Mus musculus: one gene and its partner. The protein of the gene in region 1 purifies or fractionates together with the protein of each later gene. This does not show direct contact. Links are inferred from orthologs where the notes say so. Each region holds a gene or a part of one and is shown on either strand. Other genes may lie near its edges. The genes, in order: Daxx and Baz1b.

Evidence for each region.
Region 2: the proteins of Daxx (region 1) and Baz1b purify together in Homo sapiens (co-immunoprecipitation; 3 studies listed by BioGRID and IntAct, with this or other methods). This does not show direct contact. The link is inferred for Mus musculus from reciprocal best matches to the Homo sapiens genes DAXX and BAZ1B.

The regions. Positions count from the first base shown.
Region 1 is NC_000083.6:33,905,082-33,914,733, forward strand, and holds the start of Daxx (death domain-associated protein 6), read left to right. Parts: upstream 1-4,363; 5' UTR 4,364-4,517; exon of another isoform or gene 4,518-4,773; intron 4,774-5,349; 5' UTR 5,350-5,365; coding exon 5,366-5,590; intron 5,591-6,156; coding exon 6,157-6,988; intron 6,989-7,076; coding exon 7,077-7,288; intron 7,289-7,506; coding exon 7,507-7,726; intron 7,727-8,191; coding exon 8,192-8,645; intron 8,646-8,724; exon of another isoform or gene 8,725-8,761; coding exon 8,762-8,981; intron 8,982-9,652. Other genes in the region: Smim40 (small integral membrane protein 40), read left to right, coding at 557-802. UniProt on the Homo sapiens protein: Transcription corepressor known to repress transcriptional potential of several sumoylated transcription factors. Down-regulates basal and activated transcription.
Region 2 is NC_000071.6:135,183,115-135,192,866, forward strand, and holds the start of Baz1b (tyrosine-protein kinase BAZ1B), read left to right. Parts: upstream 1-4,208; 5' UTR 4,209-4,535; coding exon 4,536-4,642; intron 4,643-9,752. UniProt on the Homo sapiens protein: Atypical tyrosine-protein kinase that plays a central role in chromatin remodeling and acts as a transcription regulator. Involved in DNA damage response by phosphorylating 'Tyr-142' of histone H2AX (H2AXY142ph).

The DNA of each region.
Region 1 (9,652 bases):
GAAGCCCCACCCAACCCTGACCTGTTGTTACAGCATGCTCCCTCTCGGTCAGGAGAGGCCCCAAACTGACCCTTGGCACGTGAGGCCAGGAATGCCTGTCCATTCCAATTAAGGTCTCTATAATGGGTGGGTTGTCTGATTCCAAAGCTGAGTTACAATGTGTTTAAGCTAGATATACAGCCTGACCTTTCACATCAGTGTCCTGGGCCACTGACAGCTCACGGGGGGGGGGGGTGGGGGGGGTGGGGTGGGGTGGTGGTGGTGGTGGTGGTGGTGGTGGTGGTGGTGGTGGTGGTGTTTACAGTCTAACACCCTGACCCATCGTGGGAGCCCAGGTAAAGGGAGGAAGAGTTAATATGCTGAGAGTCAGAAAACTTATAAAGAAATAAAAATTGCCCCCAAACTCAAAAGCCTTTCTCTCCTTTCTACCTGGGTTCTTGAATTAGGGTCAAAGCCAGCAGCTGCGGGATCGTCACACCCTTACCCTTTAATCCCAGCGATGCTGAGCCGGCTTCCATCCCCTCGCTGAGCTAGCCAGCTGTCTGACTGCTTGAAAATGGCGGAAGAGGAAGAGGGCGGCGTGGAGGAGGGGGACGTGTTCCTAGCATTTGCCCAGGGTCCCATTCCTCCTCGGGGGCCCGTGCGGCGGGCTTTGGACAAGATCTTCCTCGCCTTCTTGGTCCTCTTCCTGACTCTGCTGATGCTGGAGGCTGCTTACAAACTGCTGTGGCCCCTGCCATGGGCCAAGTTTCAGGACTGGCTCCTGAGGACCCCTGAGGAGGAGGCAGCTCTGGAACTCTGAGCGTCTTCATAGACCACCTGTCCTTGCTACTGAGGTGAGAAAGGAGATGTTAGAGAGGTCAGGGTGGAAGACATAGTTAAGGCCAACACTCTGAGATTATCTTTGTTTATCTGCGTTTCTGTTTGTGGGTATGTGCATGAGTTCAGGTGCCCGCGGAAGCTAGAGGTTGTCGGATCCCTAGGGGCTGGGGTTATAGAAGGTGTTAGTCACCTGAAGTGGGTACTGGGAACCAGACTCAGGTCTGCAACACACACACACACACCTTTATATACATACTGTATATAAATGTAATTTCAGAACCCACATGAGAGCATACAAAGAATAATTTTTCCTTTTGAATAGCTTATTTTGCTTAAGAATGTACTTTTTTCTTTTATTTTTTAAGATTTAAAGTGCACTGTAGCTATCTTAGACATTTTTTTCTTCTCTCTCCAGCCCAGCTCACTCAAAGATTTATTATATGTACGTACACTGTCGCTGTCTTCAGACACCCCAGAAGAGGGCATCAGATCTCATTAAGGATGGTTGTGAGCCACCATGTGGTTGCTGGGATTTGAACTCAGGACCTCTGGAACAGCAGTCAGTGCTCTTAACCGCTGAGCCATTTCTCCAACCCTTAAGAGTGTATTTTATTTCCTTTTGATTTCCTGCAAGTATCATGGTTTCAGTTTTCTTTCTGGCTGTAAGACTCCATTGTATGTCCGAACCACATTTTATCTGTTTTACGGGCCAGTTGGCTGCTTCTGTTCTTTTGCCTATTGCAATCGCTACAGCAATAAACATGGATGTGTACGTGGTGTTCTGACTTAAATTTCTTCAAGTATCTATCCAGGAGCAATACATCTAGGACATGTTAGGTCTTAGGCCGTGCATAGGTCCAGAGATGGGTCCTGGCCCACCTCAAGCTGGACTCTAGAAGAGTCCCTGGCAGTTAGACAAAGGCCAGAATTCCCCCAGGACCTTGTGAAACAGGCTCCTGTCTGCAGAAAGGATGTTTCCCTTGCCTCTGGAAAAAGGACACAAGGCTCAGCAGTGTGCCTGGGGTGCCTCTGTGCGTGTTCCCATACTAGCATCCTCCTTCCTGAGACTCCCAGCCCTGCTCCAGGTCAGGGCCTCCCTAACCCTAGCTCCCTCCATATACATCTCATACGCAGCGGCTGTCTACCATTTCTCATCATGGCTGCTCACAGCTCCAGTCCCTGGGATCAGTCCACCCTCTTTTGATCTTCATGTCCATAAAAAGTACTTTGAGCATTTGTGATTATTGCAGGAACAGAATGGATCAGACAATGTAAAAACCTATGCTTACTTTTATTCATTATATATAAGGAATTCTGGTTAATTTCACCTGCGTTTCTCTTGGATGCCCCTCTCCTAGGGAAGCTCTTACTCCCCCAGGCTGATTCTACTCCCTGGCTCCTCCCCCCACTGTTAAGTTTAATTGGGATTTGCAGGAGGGGACCTAGGGGTTGGAGCTCCCTGGGTTTACCAGTGGCAGAAAAAGACTCTCCCAACAAGAATTGCCAATAGCTCTTTAGAGATGGGTGGGGATTCTCATGAGCCCCCTTCCTTATTTCTGATTTTTTTCTTTCTTTCTTTTTTTTTATTTTCAAGACAGGTTTCTCTGTTTAGCCCTGGCTGTCCTAGAACTCAGAAATCTGCCTGCCTCTGCCTCCCAAGTACTGGGATTAAAGGCATGCGCCACCATGCCCAGCTTTCTGATGGGCTTTTTTTTTTTGTTTTTAAAGATTTATTTTATTATTATATCTAAGTACACTGTAGCTGTCTTCAGACACACCAGAAGAGGGCATCAGATCTATATTAAGGATGGTTGTGAACCACCATGTGGTTGCTAGGACTTGAACTCATGACCTTTGGAAGAGCAGTCAGTGCTCTTACCTGCTGAGTCATCTCTCCAGCTCCTCTGATGGTCTCTTAATAGCAGGTAATCTTGGCCTCTGTGAGTTGGTCAGTGCCACAAGCTGGCCTTGTCACAGAACTCTAATCCAACTTTCACCTCCTAACTTCCATCCACACCCGCTCCCTTCTTCCATGGTCCCTCAGCTTGCAGTCAGTTTTTATAACGACTAACTTTAACAATACATTTATTTTACTTTACGTGTATGGATGATTTGCCTGGATGCTCGTATGTTCACCACACACAAGCCTATTGGATTTCCTGGAACTGGGATTACAGTTGGTTGTGAGCAACAAGTGCTCTTAAAGGCTTTCACAGGCACTTGCACTCATGTTGTGTAGAGACTTACACTGGCACACGCGTAAAAGGGAATATAAATAATTGTGAAAAGATGGGGGAACCTTTATTTCAGGGAAACCCATTTTGAGAAACCCAAGGATAAGAAAATTAAATCATCTCTTAAGAGTCCGGTCAGCCATTGGAGAGCTACCCCACCCCACCCCACCCCGCTCCTATTGAAATGCTGTAAGCCCAGAAGGCCGGACACAATGAGAGGAGGTGGGTTTAAAATTGAAGTTCGGGTCCTCTGAGAGCAGCTGGGCTTCTTTCTTGGTCCTGCAAATTGGCAAGATGCCCACCACCGTGGAAGGAAGGCTGCAGAGCCGAAGTCTCCGCGCAGAGTGTTGACGTTCAGGCTTCCTCATCAACACCTGCGGACCTTGCCTCCCCACCCTGGGCCGGGCGGGCATCACAGTGGTTTCCCCCTCTTCCTTTTCTCCGCGGCTCTGCGGGAGAAGAAGACACCCCGCGGGATTTCATGAGCCTCTTTTCCTAGAGCTCCCAGCGGCAGCTTGCACGGCTTCTCCCCAAGCCCGCGCCAGGTTATCCCGCGCTCCGCCTCCCGCCCTGCAAACCCAGGCAGTGAAGCACTGCCTTCTGTACCGGTCAAGACGACTCCGGGACAAACAGGGGGCCCACGGTTCGCACCAGGGGGCTCGGTCATAACGACAGTGGTGCAGTCTGAGATGCGTGTCGCCGACGACAATAAAAACAATAGCTCACTCCAGCATCATGCTGTGCTCATTTGTATGCGTGTGTTCGTGTGTGTGTGCACCTGGCCCAGGAGGCCCGGCTGGACAGCCTCGAGGTGCACGCCTCCTCTCGAAGGAAGGGAAGGGCCAGCGTAGGCAGCCAGGCGGTGGAACTCCAGGGGCCGGAGGGAGAGCAGAGAAGGCGGTGCAAGGCTTACACCAACCCAGGGCAGGAAAAGCATATCTTTTATTTCGTTCCCTGGAGCCCTGCACAGCCATAGAGACATCAGCTCCTTAGCTACCTGCAGGAGATTCCTTACCCTCCTAGGGTGGAGGGACCGGTCTTACCCGATGCGACTCCACGCGATGGCTTGGGGTTGTGGGGCAGGTCTGAGGCTGGAGTTTCTGATTGGCCGAGCGGCTTCGGCAAGCTCCTGGTGCAAAGAGCTCCACGCCTCGCCGCGGAGCAGGCCGGTGCCGTACGGCAACATGGCGCGCCCCATCTACCTGGTCCTCCGCCCCGCCCCGTCGAGCCTCCGCGTCCCCGGAGCGGTGGCCTCGGTGGGCGAGCCGAGCGTCACTTCCGGCTCTAAGCGGCCTGGGTCCCGTACAGCAATATGGCCGCCCTCAGGTGCTCCAGGCGGAAGCGCTAAGGCTTCCGGTCTGTTGTGGGGTCTGCGGTGGGGGTTGGGGAGAGGAAGGCGGAGGGAACTATGCGAGGATTTGTGATCCGCGCTCAGGGGATCCTCGAGAGACCGTTTCTGAGGTGGGGGCCAGGTCGTGCGCGGAGCGGGGGTGGCGGCGCAGGAGTGGCGAAGGCGACGGCTCGGCAGGGCCTGCCCGACGAGGCTCAGGGCCGAGCTGGTAGGGTACCTTGCTAGCCCTGAAGGCGAGTGTGGCGGCCTAGGGCTGAACGCCGAGAGAGGGCTCCTTGGCGGGAAGCTGAGGCCCAGACAGGAGGAATGGCGAGTGGTGGGCTCGCTGTCGGGTACCGTCGCTGAGAGTTGGCTGGGAAAACCAGGGTGCGGTGAGAGGGAGGGGACTGGAGGTGAAAAATCTCCAGCCTACAGCCCCGGTTGGAGGAAGGGGGAACACGGAGATGACTGTAGGAGCGGAGAGGACACCAGGCTCTGGGGAGGGAGTCGAAGAGTTGGAGTTAAGGAGAAGTCCGAGAGGACTGTGTTGTTTGAGGGCGAGAGCTGGGCAAACCCACTACGTGGTGTGGACAGGGTGTTGGTTCCTGTAGACAGAAAAACTCGGAGAGCAGCGTGGGACCTTGTCCTCCATTGGATTGGGAGGAAAGAGAAAACGTAGCAGCTGACAGAGTGTGGGAAAACGCAACCGAAAGACAGGAAACGCACTGGGGTGGGAGTGGCTGGAGTTGAGGGTGAGGATTTAAGGTGATCCGGAGGCTTTCCCCCAGAGCTGCTCGAAACTGAGAGTTGCAGAAGACAGGCGTTGAAGACTTGGGAAGGCTTGGGAAGGACTAAGCTATTCTGAAACCCCGACGGGGTGGGACTAAGCAGGAGGGGCTCTTTCGAGGCTCCCTTGTCCTGCCCCTTCCAGAATTCTGACCTTTCCAATACTTTCTCCCTCAGGGGAATTTGAACCCCCATGGCCACCGATGACAGCATCATTGTACTTGATGATGACGATGAAGATGAAGCTGCTGCTCAACCAGGGCCCTCCAACCTACCCCCCAATCCTGCCTCAACAGGACCTGGTCCTGGCCTGTCTCAACAGGCCACTGGTCTCTCCGAGCCCCGTGTGGATGGAGGGAGCAGTAACTCCGGTAGTAGGAAGTGCTACAAGTTGGATAATGAGAAGCTCTTTGAAGAGGTAAGCTTTTGAGATAAAAGGGTCGCCCTTTGTGGCCCATGCTGGCCTTGAACTCACAGAGCTTTTACTTGCCTCAGCCTCCTGACAGCTAGGATTAAAAATGTGAACCACTGGGCAGGAGAGATGGTTCAGCGGTTAAGAGCATTGAGCATCCAGAAGTCCTGAGTTCAATTACCACCAACCACATGATGGCGTGGCTCACAGCCGTCTGTAATAGGATCTGATGCCCTCTTCTGGTGTATCTGAAGACAGCTACAGTGTACTCATATATAGAATAAATGTTAAAAAAAAAAGCTGGGCAGTGGTGGAGCACACCTTTATTCCCAGCACTTGGGAGGCAGAGGCAGGCAGATTTCTGAGTTCGAGGACAGCCTGGTCTACAGAGTGAGTTCCAGGACAGCCAGAGCTACACAGAGAAACCCTGTCTTGAAAAACAAAAGATGTGATCCACTATGGTGTGATAGGGCCGATGCCAGGTAAAGGGGTGTGTGATTGGCTGGTTGTTCTGGCTTCCTCACCGATTCCATCTTTTTTTCCCCCCTTTTCCCTTCCCTTGAACCATGTAGTTCCTTGAACTGTGTAAGACGGAGACATCAGACCACCCTGAGGTGGTTCCGTTCCTCCACAAACTGCAGCAGCGTGCCCAGTCTGTGTTTCTGGCCTCTGCAGAGTTCTGCAACATCCTCTCCAGGGTTCTGGCTCGGTCTCGGAAGCGGCCCGCTAAGATCTATGTGTACATTAACGAGCTCTGCACTGTTCTTAAAGCTCACTCCATCAAGAAGAAGTTGAACTTAGCTCCTGCAGCCTCAACGACCAGTGAGGCGTCGGGCCCTAACCCTCCCACAGAGCCCCCCTCTGACCTTACAAACACTGAAAACACTGCCTCTGAGGCCTCAAGGACTCGCGGTTCCCGGAGGCAGATCCAGCGCCTGGAGCAGCTGCTGGCACTGTACGTAGCCGAGATTCGGCGGCTGCAGGAGAAGGAGTTGGACCTGTCAGAGCTGGATGACCCAGACTCCTCGTATTTGCAGGAGGCCCGCTTGAAGAGGAAGTTGATCCGCCTCTTCGGGCGGTTGTGTGAGTTGAAGGACTGCTCTTCTCTGACGGGGCGGGTCATAGAGCAGCGAATTCCGTACCGAGGCACCCGGTACCCAGAGGTCAACAGGCGCATTGAACGGCTCATTAACAAGCCGGGGCTGGACACCTTCCCCGATTATGGAGATGTGCTGAGAGCCGTGGAGAAGGCGGCGACCCGGCACAGCCTGGGCCTTCCCAGACAGCAGCTTCAGCTCCTGGCTCAGGATGCCTTCCGGGACGTGGGCGTCAGGTTACAGGAGCGGCGCCACCTGGATCTCATCTACAACTTTGGCTGTCACCTCACAGATGACTATAGGCCAGGTAGGACGCTCCCTTCAGGTTGGATGGAGGCATCTCTAGTCCCTTGTAGGATTGGGACTGGGTTTGCTGACCCTGTTTTCCCACACAGGCGTTGACCCCGCACTGTCTGATCCCACATTGGCTCGCCGCCTTCGGGAAAATCGAACCTTGGCCATGAACCGGCTGGATGAGGTCATCTCCAAGTATGCAATGATGCAAGACAAGACTGAGGAGGGCGAGAGACAGAAGAGACGAGCCCGGCTCTTAGGCACCGCCCCCCAACCTTCAGACCCCCCCAAAGCCTCCTCGGAATCTGGTGAGGTATGGAAGGGTTAACTCAGATCTTGTCTGCGCCCTGCACTGCCACTAGGCACTCCAGGGTGACTCCTGGAGCAGCGTATGGAAGTGGGGAAAGAATATTGGTGATGTGCTTGCCTTGCAGTCTCGCAGTCATGAGCTCCCAGAGTTGAGTCCTCCTCCTACCAATCAAAAAGCTGTGGGGCACGGGATTCCTTAAGAGAGACTGCTCTTTCCCTCAGGGTCCTAGCGGAATGGCATCCCAGGAGTGCCCTACTACCTCCAAAGCTGAGACTGATGATGACGATGATGACGATGATGATGACGACGACGAAGATAACGAGGAAAGTGAGGAGGAGGAGGAGGAGGAAGAGGAGGAGAAAGAGGCTACTGAAGATGAAGATGAGGATCTAGAACAGTTGCAGGAAGATCAGGGGGGTGATGAAGAAGAGGAAGGAGGAGGTATATGCGTAAACGGAGCTCCTCTGTGGGGAGCATCCTTGTGGTGTTAGTTCTGCTCTGTCGGACATGAGCTCCTTGTTGAGCCTTTCCCTCCCTTCCTCCCTCCCTCCCTCCCTCCCTCCCTCCCTCCCTCCCTCCCTCCCTTCCTTCCTTCCTTCCTTCCTTCCTTCCTTCCTTCCTCCTCCTCCTCTTCCTCCTCCTATGCCCTTTTTTTTTTTTTTAAAGATTTATTGATTATTATATGTAAGTATACTGTAGCTGTCTTCAGACACACCAGAAGAGGGCGTCAGATCTCGTTACGGATGGTTGTGAGCCACCATGTGGTTGCTGGGACTTGAACACTGGACCTTTGGAAGAGCAGTCCGGTGCTCTTACCCACTGAGCCATCTCTCCAGCCCTCTCCTATGTCCTTTGCACAGCCCCTCTATCCCTGTTCCTCATCCACCCCTCCCCTTTCTTTTCCAGATAATGAAGGAAATGAGAGTCCCACATCGCCTTCAGACTTTTTCCATAGAAGGAATTCAGAGCCTGCAGAAGGGCTCAGGACCCCCGAGGGGCAGCAAAAGAGAGGACTGACAGAGACCCCAGCATCCCCGCCAGGGGCATCCCTGGACCCTCCCAGCACTGACGCTGAGAGCAGTGGAGAGCAGCTCCTCGAGCCGCTCCTGGGAGACGAGAGTCCTGTGTCCCAGCTCGCTGAGCTAGAGATGGAAGCTTTGCCTGAGGAAAGGGACATTTCCTCCTCCAGGAAAAAGTCGGAAGATTCCCTCCCCACCATCTTGGAAAATGGGGCAGCTGTGGTTACCTCTACATCTGTCAATGGGCGTGTCTCTTCTCACACTTGGAGAGATGCCAGTCCCCCCAGCAAGAGATTTCGGAAGGAAAAGAAGCAACTGGGCTCTGGACTGTTAGGAAACAGGTAATAGTGGGTGAGGAGGAAGGCAGGCAAGGAGGCAGGACTCTCTGAAGGGAGCCTGATGTCCTAGGTCTCCCTGCAGCCTCAGGCCCTTTCTGTCATTTTTCTTCTGTCCTTAGCTATATAAAAGAACCGATGGCACAGCAGGACAGTGGGCAGAACACAAGTGTCCAGCCTATGCCATCCCCCCCCTTGGCCTCTGTGGCTTCTGTCGCTGATTCCTCCACAAGGGTGGACTCTCCCAGCCATGAACTGGTGACCAGCTCTCTGTGCAGCCCTTCTCCATCCCTGCTTCTCCAGACACCCCAGGCTCAGTCTCTCCGGCAGTGTATTTATAAGGTGAGTGGGCAGTGTCCCCTGGCACTGCATTCTCACCCTTTCCCTTTCTGTGGGTATTGCACCTCCTGCTCCTCTGTTTTCCCCATCTTCCTGCCCGCCCGCAAGTGCGTGCACGTGCATGCATGCTTGTGTAGTGACAGTTTTGGAATTTTGGCGTCTTTATAACAACTCAGAGCTGAGTGGTAGCGACACATGCCTTTGATCCTGGGAGGCAGAGGCAGGAGCATCTCTCTTGAGTCTGAGGCCAGCCTGGTTTACAAAGTGTGTCCCAGGACAGCCAGGGCCACACAGAGAAACTGTCTAAAACCCAAAAACCAACTAACTGACAAACAAAAAACCAGTGAAATAGGTTTTCATTTTAATCCCGGTGTGGAGTGTGGGGCTGCTTCCAACTGACTGTGACTGTGAGCTCTAGAGGTGTGGCTTTACCAGCTACAGATAGTTGCTTTGGTTGTGTGAAGTGATGTTTGGAATTCTGGGAACTTTTCAGGAGAGCATATAAATGGCAGAGCCTCCCCACCTTCCAGGAAGCATGGTTGGTGGTAGTACAGGGGTTGGTTGTGGTTTGTTAGTAGTCTTGCTCAAAGAACAAACAGGAAGAGAGACATTAGAATCAGAGATCCTGTCTCTCCTGTCTATCCTTTCTTTTCTATCTAGTGATGGGGGCGGAT
Region 2 (9,752 bases), on another chromosome or scaffold:
TCTACAGAGTTCCAGGGCAGCCAGAGCTACATCTTGGAACTCTCTCAAAAGTAAATAAGATAATAACAAAAGATTCAGCTTGGTCATGTAGCTTTAAATGGCGCTTTTCCCGGCAGGAAACCAGCGACTGCTAACTGGGGAGCAGACACAGGAGGAGGTCTGTAGAGGATCCCTAGAAACTGCTGGCTTCAATCTCTGTCCTTTAGTATTAATTTGTTTATTCAAATGGGACAGAGCCTACATGGAATGAGTAATCATGCTAAAATTATGATTTACAAAGAAAAAAAAATAGTTGCACTGGGGGTGTAGCTCAGCTGGTAGAGAGAGCTTGCCTCTCATTCGAGAAGCCTCGAGTTGGACAGAGGCCCTGAACAGCAGAAATGGGGCAGCACACCACACCTGTGAGCCAGGCTCTGGGTGGCGAAACCAGAAGATGAGAGGTTTAAGGTCATTTTCACAGCTTTACAGTAAGACAGGCCAGCCTGGCTTGAAAGAGATCCTGCCTCAAAAACAAATCCAAAGCCTTGAGTTGTGCATTCTGTCAGAGGTGGGGGAGGGACTCAAAGGCCTGCCCCTCCCTGGGAATCTAGGAGAGTCAAAGCTGCTGGGAGAGGGAGCAGCATCTTCAGTGGTGTGGTGGCCTGTACATAAGCCCTCATCCATGCTCCTGCTAGGGGGCAGCACAAAACGCATTCTTTCTCTCTCACTCTCTCCGCCCCCTCCCCTCCCCCCCCCCCCCCCCAGAAAAACAAACAAGGGGCTGGTTAAGAGGACTGTTTGCTCTTCAGAGGTCATGAGTTCAATTCCCAGCAACCACATGGTGGCTCACAACCATTGGTAATTAGTTCAGGACATCAAAAGGAGGTTAAGAAAAAAAAGAAAAAGAAAAACAAAAAGAAAAAAAACAAAAAACAAAAAGCAAACCCTCAAAGATAACAATAACAAAACCAACAAGACAAAACATGAAGCAAAATAATAATAATACCAAAAATAATACCAAAAACAACAAAATATGAAAGTAGGTCCCTGTAGTGGTACATGGGAGGCAGAGGCAGGGAGATTTCTGAGTTTGAGGCCAGCCTGGTCTACAGAGTGAGTTCCAGGACAGCCAGGGGCACACACAGAATCCCTGTCTCGGAAAACCAAAAACAAACCAAACCAAACCAAAATTAAAATAACAAACAAACAAACCAGGCCAGGCAGTTAATACCAGCACTTGGGAGGCAGAGACAGGAAGATTTCTGAGTTTGAGGCCAGTCTGGTCTACAGAGTGAGTTCTAGAACAGCCAGGGCTACACAGAGAAGCCCTGTCTCAAAAGAAATACACACACACACACACACACACACACATATACATATTTATTATGAAAATGTTTGATGAACTCATTATTACACAAATACATATAAACAATATATGCTTTTTTTTTTTTTTTTTTTTTTTTTGAGACAGGACTTCTCTGTATAGCCCTCGCTGTTCAGGAACTCACTTTGTAGTCTCAGCACTAGTTAGCAGAAGGGACCAGGAGGAACACAAGCAGAAGTTCTCAGCTGTACCTCTCATGAGGAAGTGAAGATCAGCGAAGAGTGGATACTAACAAGCATTGCTCAGCCGGCTATCCCAGCAAGCAAGCTCAGCCTCTGTTATTGTCTGTTGAGTCCTTTGAGTTTTTTGGTGTATTTCTCTCTATGGAGTCCTGACAAATGTAGCCCAACTACAAAATATAAGGTGGACCGATACATGTGTGTCATTAGTGAAGAATCCTTCATCATATGTCCTTTCACAAGCTTGCAGAACATTCTTTCTCACATGTCTGCTTCAGTGAAACATTCCTTCACATGTTTGCCCCAGCAAAACACCATCCAACACAACTGGCTTTCCAAAGAACCCTCAAATTCCCACTTCAGATGGGTGTGCTTAGAACAATTGGAAGAAAAGATTCAGAAGGCAATGAGCAATCCAAGGTACAGAGGAGAGGTGGATGCAGCTAGGAGACTGAGGCAGGAGGCCTGTGGTTTGAGGCTGGCCTGGCTACATGGCATGAACCTGTCTCACAAAACCAGGATGGCAGTGCCAGGTGGTTCTGTCCCGGCCCAGTAAGCGCATTTTTCTTTACCTTCCCTTTTTTCTTTCATTTCTCCTTTCCTTCTTTTGCTTCCTGTCCCTACTCCACCCCCTTTATGATAGGCCATAGTCCTGCCTGACAAGTTGCCTCTCCTTCCCAGTGCTGGCATTCTGATCTTCACGACCACCTAGTATCAGATCCTCAACTCTCCAGCTTTTACTATTATTTTCTTGTGTGTGTGTCTGTGTGTGAATGTATGTTTTGCCTGTGTGTCTGTGCCCTACATGTGTACAGTGCCCAAGGAGACCAGAAGAGAGTGTCAGATCCTCTGGGACTGAACTTACAGATTGTTGTGAGCCACCATGTGGGTGCTGGGACTCAAACTCTAGTTCCCAGCAAGAGTAGCCAGTACTCTTAATTTTGAGTCATATCTCTGGCCCCAACGTTTATTTATTTATACATACATATCCTTTAATAGGATTTTAATTAATGAACTATACATTTAAATTTATTATTGTTATTGTTGGTTTCAGAGTCTCACTATGTACTTATTTATGTGAAGAGGTGGGGGTGGAGTGGGGGTGTGAAGGCATGCCCACATGCCTTCAGAGACCAAAAGAGGGCGCTAGAGCGTCTTTGACCTTTTGAACTGGAGTTAGTAATGGTTGAGAGCCATTGCATGTGGATGCTGGAATCCAACTCAGGTCTTCTGCAAGAGCAGTATGTGTTAACCTTAAGCCATCCCTTTAGGCCCATCTTTTTTAATAGTACATTTATTTTTATTTTAAATTATGTGTATGGGGGGGGTATGTATACAGGGTTGCAAGAATCTACTGCTCTGGAGTCACAGGCGATTGTGATCCTCCAACACAAAAACTGTGAATCAGACCCAGAATCTCTGGAAGAACTCTTAATTGCATGCGGAGTCACTTCTCCAGCCCCATGAGCTTAATACATATGTTTTCTAACATAGCTTTATTTATTTATTGTTATAGGGATTTGCTATTCAGCCTGTAAGACTGTAGCCCAGGTTAGTCACAAACTCACTTAGGACCGTCCAGCTTCAAAAACCTGCATCACTTAGTTGCACTATATACACACACACATATATATATATACACACACATATATATGAATGAATATAGTCTTTTACATATGTACATACAGAAAACCTTCTTTATTATTCTTCCGTTTATTTTACTTTCAAGATTTATTTTTAAATTGTGTATGTGTGCACACGTGGTGGGGGATGTTACGTGCACGTGAGTACGTGCACCTGAGGAGGCAAGAGGAATGGGAACTCCTGGAGCTGCAGCCGGAGGCAGGTTCCAGCTACCCGATGTGGGAGCTAAGAATTGAACTTGGGTCCTCTGAACGAGTACAAGATCTTAGCCCCTGAGTCTGCTCTGCGGCTCTTCCTCCACATATTTTTAAAGAAAGTTCTTCATTATCCTTCCCTGTAGTCCTTAAAAAACAGGCTGTTAATCTCCATTTCTCAATTACAGTGATGCCGCGTCGGGGAAGGTTGGGGTCCTAGTCGCCCCAATGCGGAACTTCAGTTTGGAGAGGGCCTGAGTTACTTCCCGCCCAGTACAGCTCCACCCGCGCATCCCCGGGCGTGGCCGAGCGCGGCCCCTTTAAGAAGGGGGGCGGAGCGCGAGTGGAAAGACAAAGCCCCTGGCCGCGCGCTCCCCCTCCCCCCTCCGGCGCAGCACACGGACAGTGAGTGCCCGGATGTCGGTGTCGCCGTCGGTGACAGATGGCGCAATGTCTGTATCAGTGACAGGGCTTTTTGCTCTGACCTCTTTGAGTCTTCCGCTTTTCGTCCTCCCCCTCCTACTGCTGTCCCATTACTTTTGAAGTCCGCCACTGGAGGCCCGCACGCCCGTCCCCGGCTCTTACATAACGTGACCTTTCACCTTTTCAGACTGCCCTCTGCTGCGCTGCAACTCAACTTCGCGGCTGGAGCCCAGGGGGCGGGACTCGACCTCGGAGCGGCAGCCTCTCTGAGCCAATAGGCTGCGAAGGCCGACGAGCCCTCCGCCTATCGGAGCCTCCGCCCCAGGGCGCCACGGAGAAGCAAGTTAGTCTGTGCGCTGGCCCGGCAGCGGGGGGGAGGAAGGGAATCTCCCGCCATTTTTCAATAATTTCCTCCCGTGCCCGCTGGAGAGGAGTCGTGACTGGCGGCCGCCGCGGCGGAGATCGGCGTGAGGTGAAAGGCGCCGGAAGGGGCGAGGAGAATCTCTCCGTTTTCTCCCCTCGAGGCGTCCCCCTGGCTTCCATGGCCGTGGCGCGGTCCCGCCAGCTCTGAGGGAAGCCGGAGTTCGCGCCGCCCTCTCACCCCTCCCCTCCCCCATCGCCCCGGGAGCCAGGCGCCTCGCTCGCTCGCTCGCCCCGGGGCTGCCGGGGCCTAGCGCTGCGCAGCAGAGCGGCCGAGCCTTCGGCGCTCCGTCCCCTGCCGGCGCCGCCGCGATGGCGCCGCTGCTGGGCCGCAAGCCCTTCCCGCTGGTGAAACCGCTGCCCGGAGAGGAGCCGCTCTTCACCATCCCGCACACTCAGGAGGCCTTCCGCACCCGGGAGTATCCTTTCTCCGCGCGCGGTGTGGACGCTCGGCCGCGGCTGCGCAGGGCGAGGGATGGAGATGGCGAGATGCGAATGGGCCGCGCGCGGCTCGCGGGGCAGCTGTCACCGCACGGGGCCGTCCGCGGGCCGTGATGCCCGGGGCCCTGCTTTACCCGGGCTTGGGAGCTCCGCGGCGAGATCCCTCCGGGCCGTCTCCAGCCGTCCTTCCCGGAACCGCGCGCCTCCATCCCTTTTCCCCTTACTTTGTCCCCGGGGCCTCGGTGGTGATCGCAACACCAATCCCCTCCTCCCCAACTTGGCTTCGGGCCCTAAATGACTAGGGAGGGTAGCCGGGTTCCCTTTGCGCATTTTATTTCTCTCTCCTTTCATAGAAATGAAACCGTCAAGTTTAAGTTTTTGAAATTGTACCGGCGCAGCCGCGTGATCCGGCTTGTGCAAGCCTCTACTGCGTCTTGAGTGGGCTGTGCGGGGACACTGATGTGGCTTGTGGGTTTTGTTTTTCTCCTCCGGAGTGGACTTTAGGCCAGGGATGAACTGACAGAACCGTAAATCACAAAACCTGGCATTAACTTTTTACCCACTGAAGATGGGAAGGAGCAGAAAGGTACATTGATGGTTCTGGTGGCCATTTATTTCCTAGAGAACACAGAAGTTTGACACTTAGAAGTTTCATTTTTCCGTCTTTTTTTTTTTTTTTTTTTTTTTGAGGGAGCGCTTCATGTAGCACCGGCTGGCCTCGAACTCAGAGAGGCTGGACACTGCATTCCCGATCCTGTCTGTCTGTCTGCCTGTCTCTCTGTCTCTCAATCTCTCTCTCTCTCTCTCTCTCTCTCTCTCTCTCTCTCTCTCTCTGGTACGTGAAACTGGTGTTTTAGAATACAAAGTCAGCATTTCCAATCATTACTTTAAGATTTCTTGACCAAGCATAGCCTCTTAGTTAAAAGTTGTAGTACTTCCCCCCCCCCCCCCCCCGCCCCCGGTAGGGGGAATGTTGAATCTTTTAAGGCTTATTTGTTTTTTAAAAAGCTAAGTTTCCTTACCAAACTTGCCTGTCCTGCTATCTTTACCACCCCTTTTCCTTTGGAAAGATTAGGTAAGAGCAGGAAGGATTCAAGTGAAGTATTTCAGTTTGCTCTTGGCCTTTGCCTCTTTCCTGCTTTGTTTTTTGTTGTTTCATTTTTAATTGTCTTGTAACCTAGGTTGATGTCTAAGGTAGGTGTTGGAAGCTAAGTGTGACGTTTTCCTTCCTAACTTCCCAAGTGATGGAATTGCCGATCACCTGTGTAGATTTAATAAAATGTTCTGAATATTTAGGATACTTTTACTCCCCTTCCTTTCCTCAATATTTGGGGAATTTACCGTAGGGCCCTGCACTATTAGTAAGCTCCATCCTGGGCCCTCTGGTTTTTTATTTTGAGTCAGGGCATCATTAAAATTGCTGAGACTGGCTGGGAACTCACCATGTGGCTTAGGCAGGCCTTGAACTTTTGGTTCTCCTGCTTTAGCCTCCCTAGTATCTGGGATTAATAGACCTCAGGACCAGCCAGTACAGCTTCAGCCCTTCTAGCATCAGTTCTGAAAGGCAGTGTCCACCTACAGAGATTATTTTCCACCTTTTAATTTTGTCTGTATAGATGTTTCCCTGCCTATGTGTCTATGGAGCACTGTGTGTCTGGAGCACCCTGGAGGCCAGATTTGGATTGTGAGCTACTGTGAGGGTGCTGGGGATTGAACCCAGGTTCTGTGCACTTAACCTCACTGTTGACTCTAAGCCCCAGTTGGGTTTTTGTTTTTGTTTTCTCTTTCTTTCAGTAGGGTCTCACTGTGTGGCTCTGTCAAGGATGGAACATTTTGTAGAGCAGATTGGCCTGAAACTTAAAGATCTGCCATTCCATACCTGTTCTAAGTTCTGAGATGAAAGGGTTCTTGCAGCACCATGCCTGGCCTCCATGTAGGTGTTTGCTTATGTATGCTTATGGCATTTCTGAGCTGAAAAGGGTCTTAGAGGTGGTCCAGATTTCCTGTCTGCTTGCCCAGTGGGCCCAAGGGAATTGAAGTCGGTATGTTTAAAGTTCATGGACTCTTGTGTATAAATGATGAATGTTGGGATTACAATCCAGTGCTCTTTCAAGGATGTCACTGTAAATAAATGAAGGGAAGAACAGGAACTGTGGTACAGGATGGGGCCCAGGGCCCTGCATGTGCTCTGCAGGCTCTGACACACACCATGTTGCCTTTGAGCTCCTGAATCCTGCGACAGCCTCCCAAGTGAAGAGTTTCTGGGTTCTAGGGTCATAGTCATGTGCCACCATGCCACACATCCTCCTTTGCTTTTAACTGAATCAAAACTTTTTTTCTTTTAAAGATTTATATATTTTATGGACATGAGTGTTTTGCCTACATTTATATGTGTGAACCTTCTGTGTGCCTATACATGGTTTCCACATGTGTTAGCTGAGAACTGAACCTAGCTCCACAGCAAGTGCTCTTAACTGTTGAGCCACCCCCACACTTTTATTGAGATATTAGTCTACTCTGTGTCAGTTTGTGTTATAATTAGATGATATAAGGTGTATTTAGTTCTATGAAGTACATTATTCTAAAGGTACCATACTTGCTTTTAAAACTATTTTCATGATGTCAGTAGAGTAAAACTTACTCCTGGGACTCTGACATAGTCTCCTTACATGTCAGTTATCTATGTATCTATCTACTTACTTATTTATTTAGGCAGGGTGTCACTATGCAACCTTGACTGGCCAAGTCCAGACTGGTTTAAACTCCGAGGTTTGCTATCCTTGGTATCATGGTACCATACCCAGCTGATTCTTTGACCTATTGATGGTCATACTAATATTATCAGAGGTAAGTCTTTTTTTTTTTTAAGATTTATTTATTATTATATATAACTACACTGTAGCTGCTTCAGACACACCAGAAGAGGGAGTCAGATTTCATTACGGATGGTTGTGAGCCACCATGTGGTTGCTGGGATTTGAATTCAGGTCCTTTGTAAGAGCAGTCAGTGCTCTTACCTGTTGAGCCATCTCACCAGCCCCAGAGGTAAGTCTGAGACATTTGAAACATAGCCAGCTAATTTAGAATTATTAACAAAGGCATTGTTTATTATTTATTTATTGTCTGGAGGTGGGTTGGGTGTATATGCTTTGATGCACATTGTGGAGCAAGCAGGCACCATCATAGTACTGTTTCCCTAATCTTGCAAACATTTTCTTAATGAAAACTGAAACCTGAACCATTTTAAATGGTATACATTTAATAGACATTTGTTTAGAATTTCCTCTACCAGTATTTAGGACTTTTAGATAAATGAATTATTTTTTAAAAGATGATATTTAGAGGAAATTGCTCTCCTGGAAATTCCCAGAAGCAGGGAGCATATTGAGAGTAGTTTTGAGTTCTGGACCGTGTGGCTGGCTGGTTGGCATGTTTCATTATGAGTGGTTCCATAGAGGATAGCAGATGTATGGTTGAGCAACAGCTGTATTGGAAGTATCACCACTCCTCAATTTATATTTAGGGTTATACATATATATATTTAAAAGATTCATTTATTTATTATATTTAAGTACACTGTAGCTGTCTTCAGACACTCCAGAAGAGGGCATCAGATTTCATTATGGATGGTTATGAGCCACCATGTGGTTGCTGGGATTTGAACTCGGGACCTTTGGAAGAGCAGTCGGCACTCTTAACCACTGAGCCATCTCACCAGCTCTTAGGGTTATATTTTAATAAGAGTAATTTTCTCCTCATTTTGACTGCATGTTTAGCTATAACAACTTTTTCTATTTTAACTTAAAGCCGTGAGTATGTTCTTAAAAGGTACCTTGTATGCCTTCATTGAATTAATTGACAGTGGAAGCTTACTGGCCGCTTATGGCTGTAATCCCTGCATTCCAAAGCTAAGGCAGGAGGAAAGGGGGCTTTAGGCCAGCCTGGCTACAAGGGAGACCTTTTCTCAAAAACAGAAGGGCTGGAGAGATGGCAGTGTTAAGAGCACTACCATAGGTCTACCATAGAAACCCCGGATTGCAGGCTCAAAACCTGTAAATCCAGCTCCAAGGGAGCATAATGCCCTCTTCTGGCTTCTGTGGGTACTACACATACATGGCATGCTTCATTCACAGACACCAGCACACTCAAAATTTTTTAATAAGATTCATTTTATTTTATGTATATGAATATACTGTAGCTGTCTTCAGACTCACTAGAAGAGGGCATCAGATCCCATTACAGATGTTTATTAGCCACCATGTGGTTTCTGGGAATTGAACTCAGGACCTCTAGAAGAGCAATCAGTGCTCTTAACTGCTGAGCCATCATCTCTCCAGCCCCCCAATTTTTTTTTTCAAGATTTATTTATTTGGTGTATGTGAGTACACTTTCACTGTCTTAGGGCAGACCGGAAGAGAGCATCAGATCCCATTACAGATGGTTGTGAGCCACCATGTGGTTGCTGGGAATTGAATTCAGACCTCCGAAAGAGCAGTCAGTGAGTGCTTATAACCTCTGAGCCATCTCTCCGGCCCCAAAATTTTTAATCTTAAAAGAAGGAAACTGGAAGTTTCAGATAATACACGAATTTAATGATTGTATGTTTTCACTATCATAGGTTATCAATTGCACTTTACCTTTGTACCTATGGATAGTCTTCCGTAGGGGTAGTACCATAGGCAAGACACTTACTAGAATAACATTAATTGATTAGAGTCAGGTTGGTGTATATTTTTGGTTGCTGTTGCTTTTATGTGTCTGAGTGTTTATGGACATAAATGTGTGTATGGTAACCATGGAGATAAGAAGAAAGGGTTGGATCCCCTGGGACTGTAGTTACAGACAGTTTCAAGCTTCCATGTGAGTGCTAGAAATTGAAACCAGATCCTCCTTGAGAGTGGCCAGTGCTCTTCAACATTGAGCCATTTCTCCAGCCCTGTTTGTTTTGAGACAGGGTCTCACTGTGTCTGGCCTTGCAGAGATCCATCTACCTCTGCCTCCCAAATGCATGTGCCACCATGTCTAGCCCTCCACTCTGTTTTTTGTTTTGTTTTGTTTTGGTGTTTGTTTGTTTTTGAGAACCCCCAG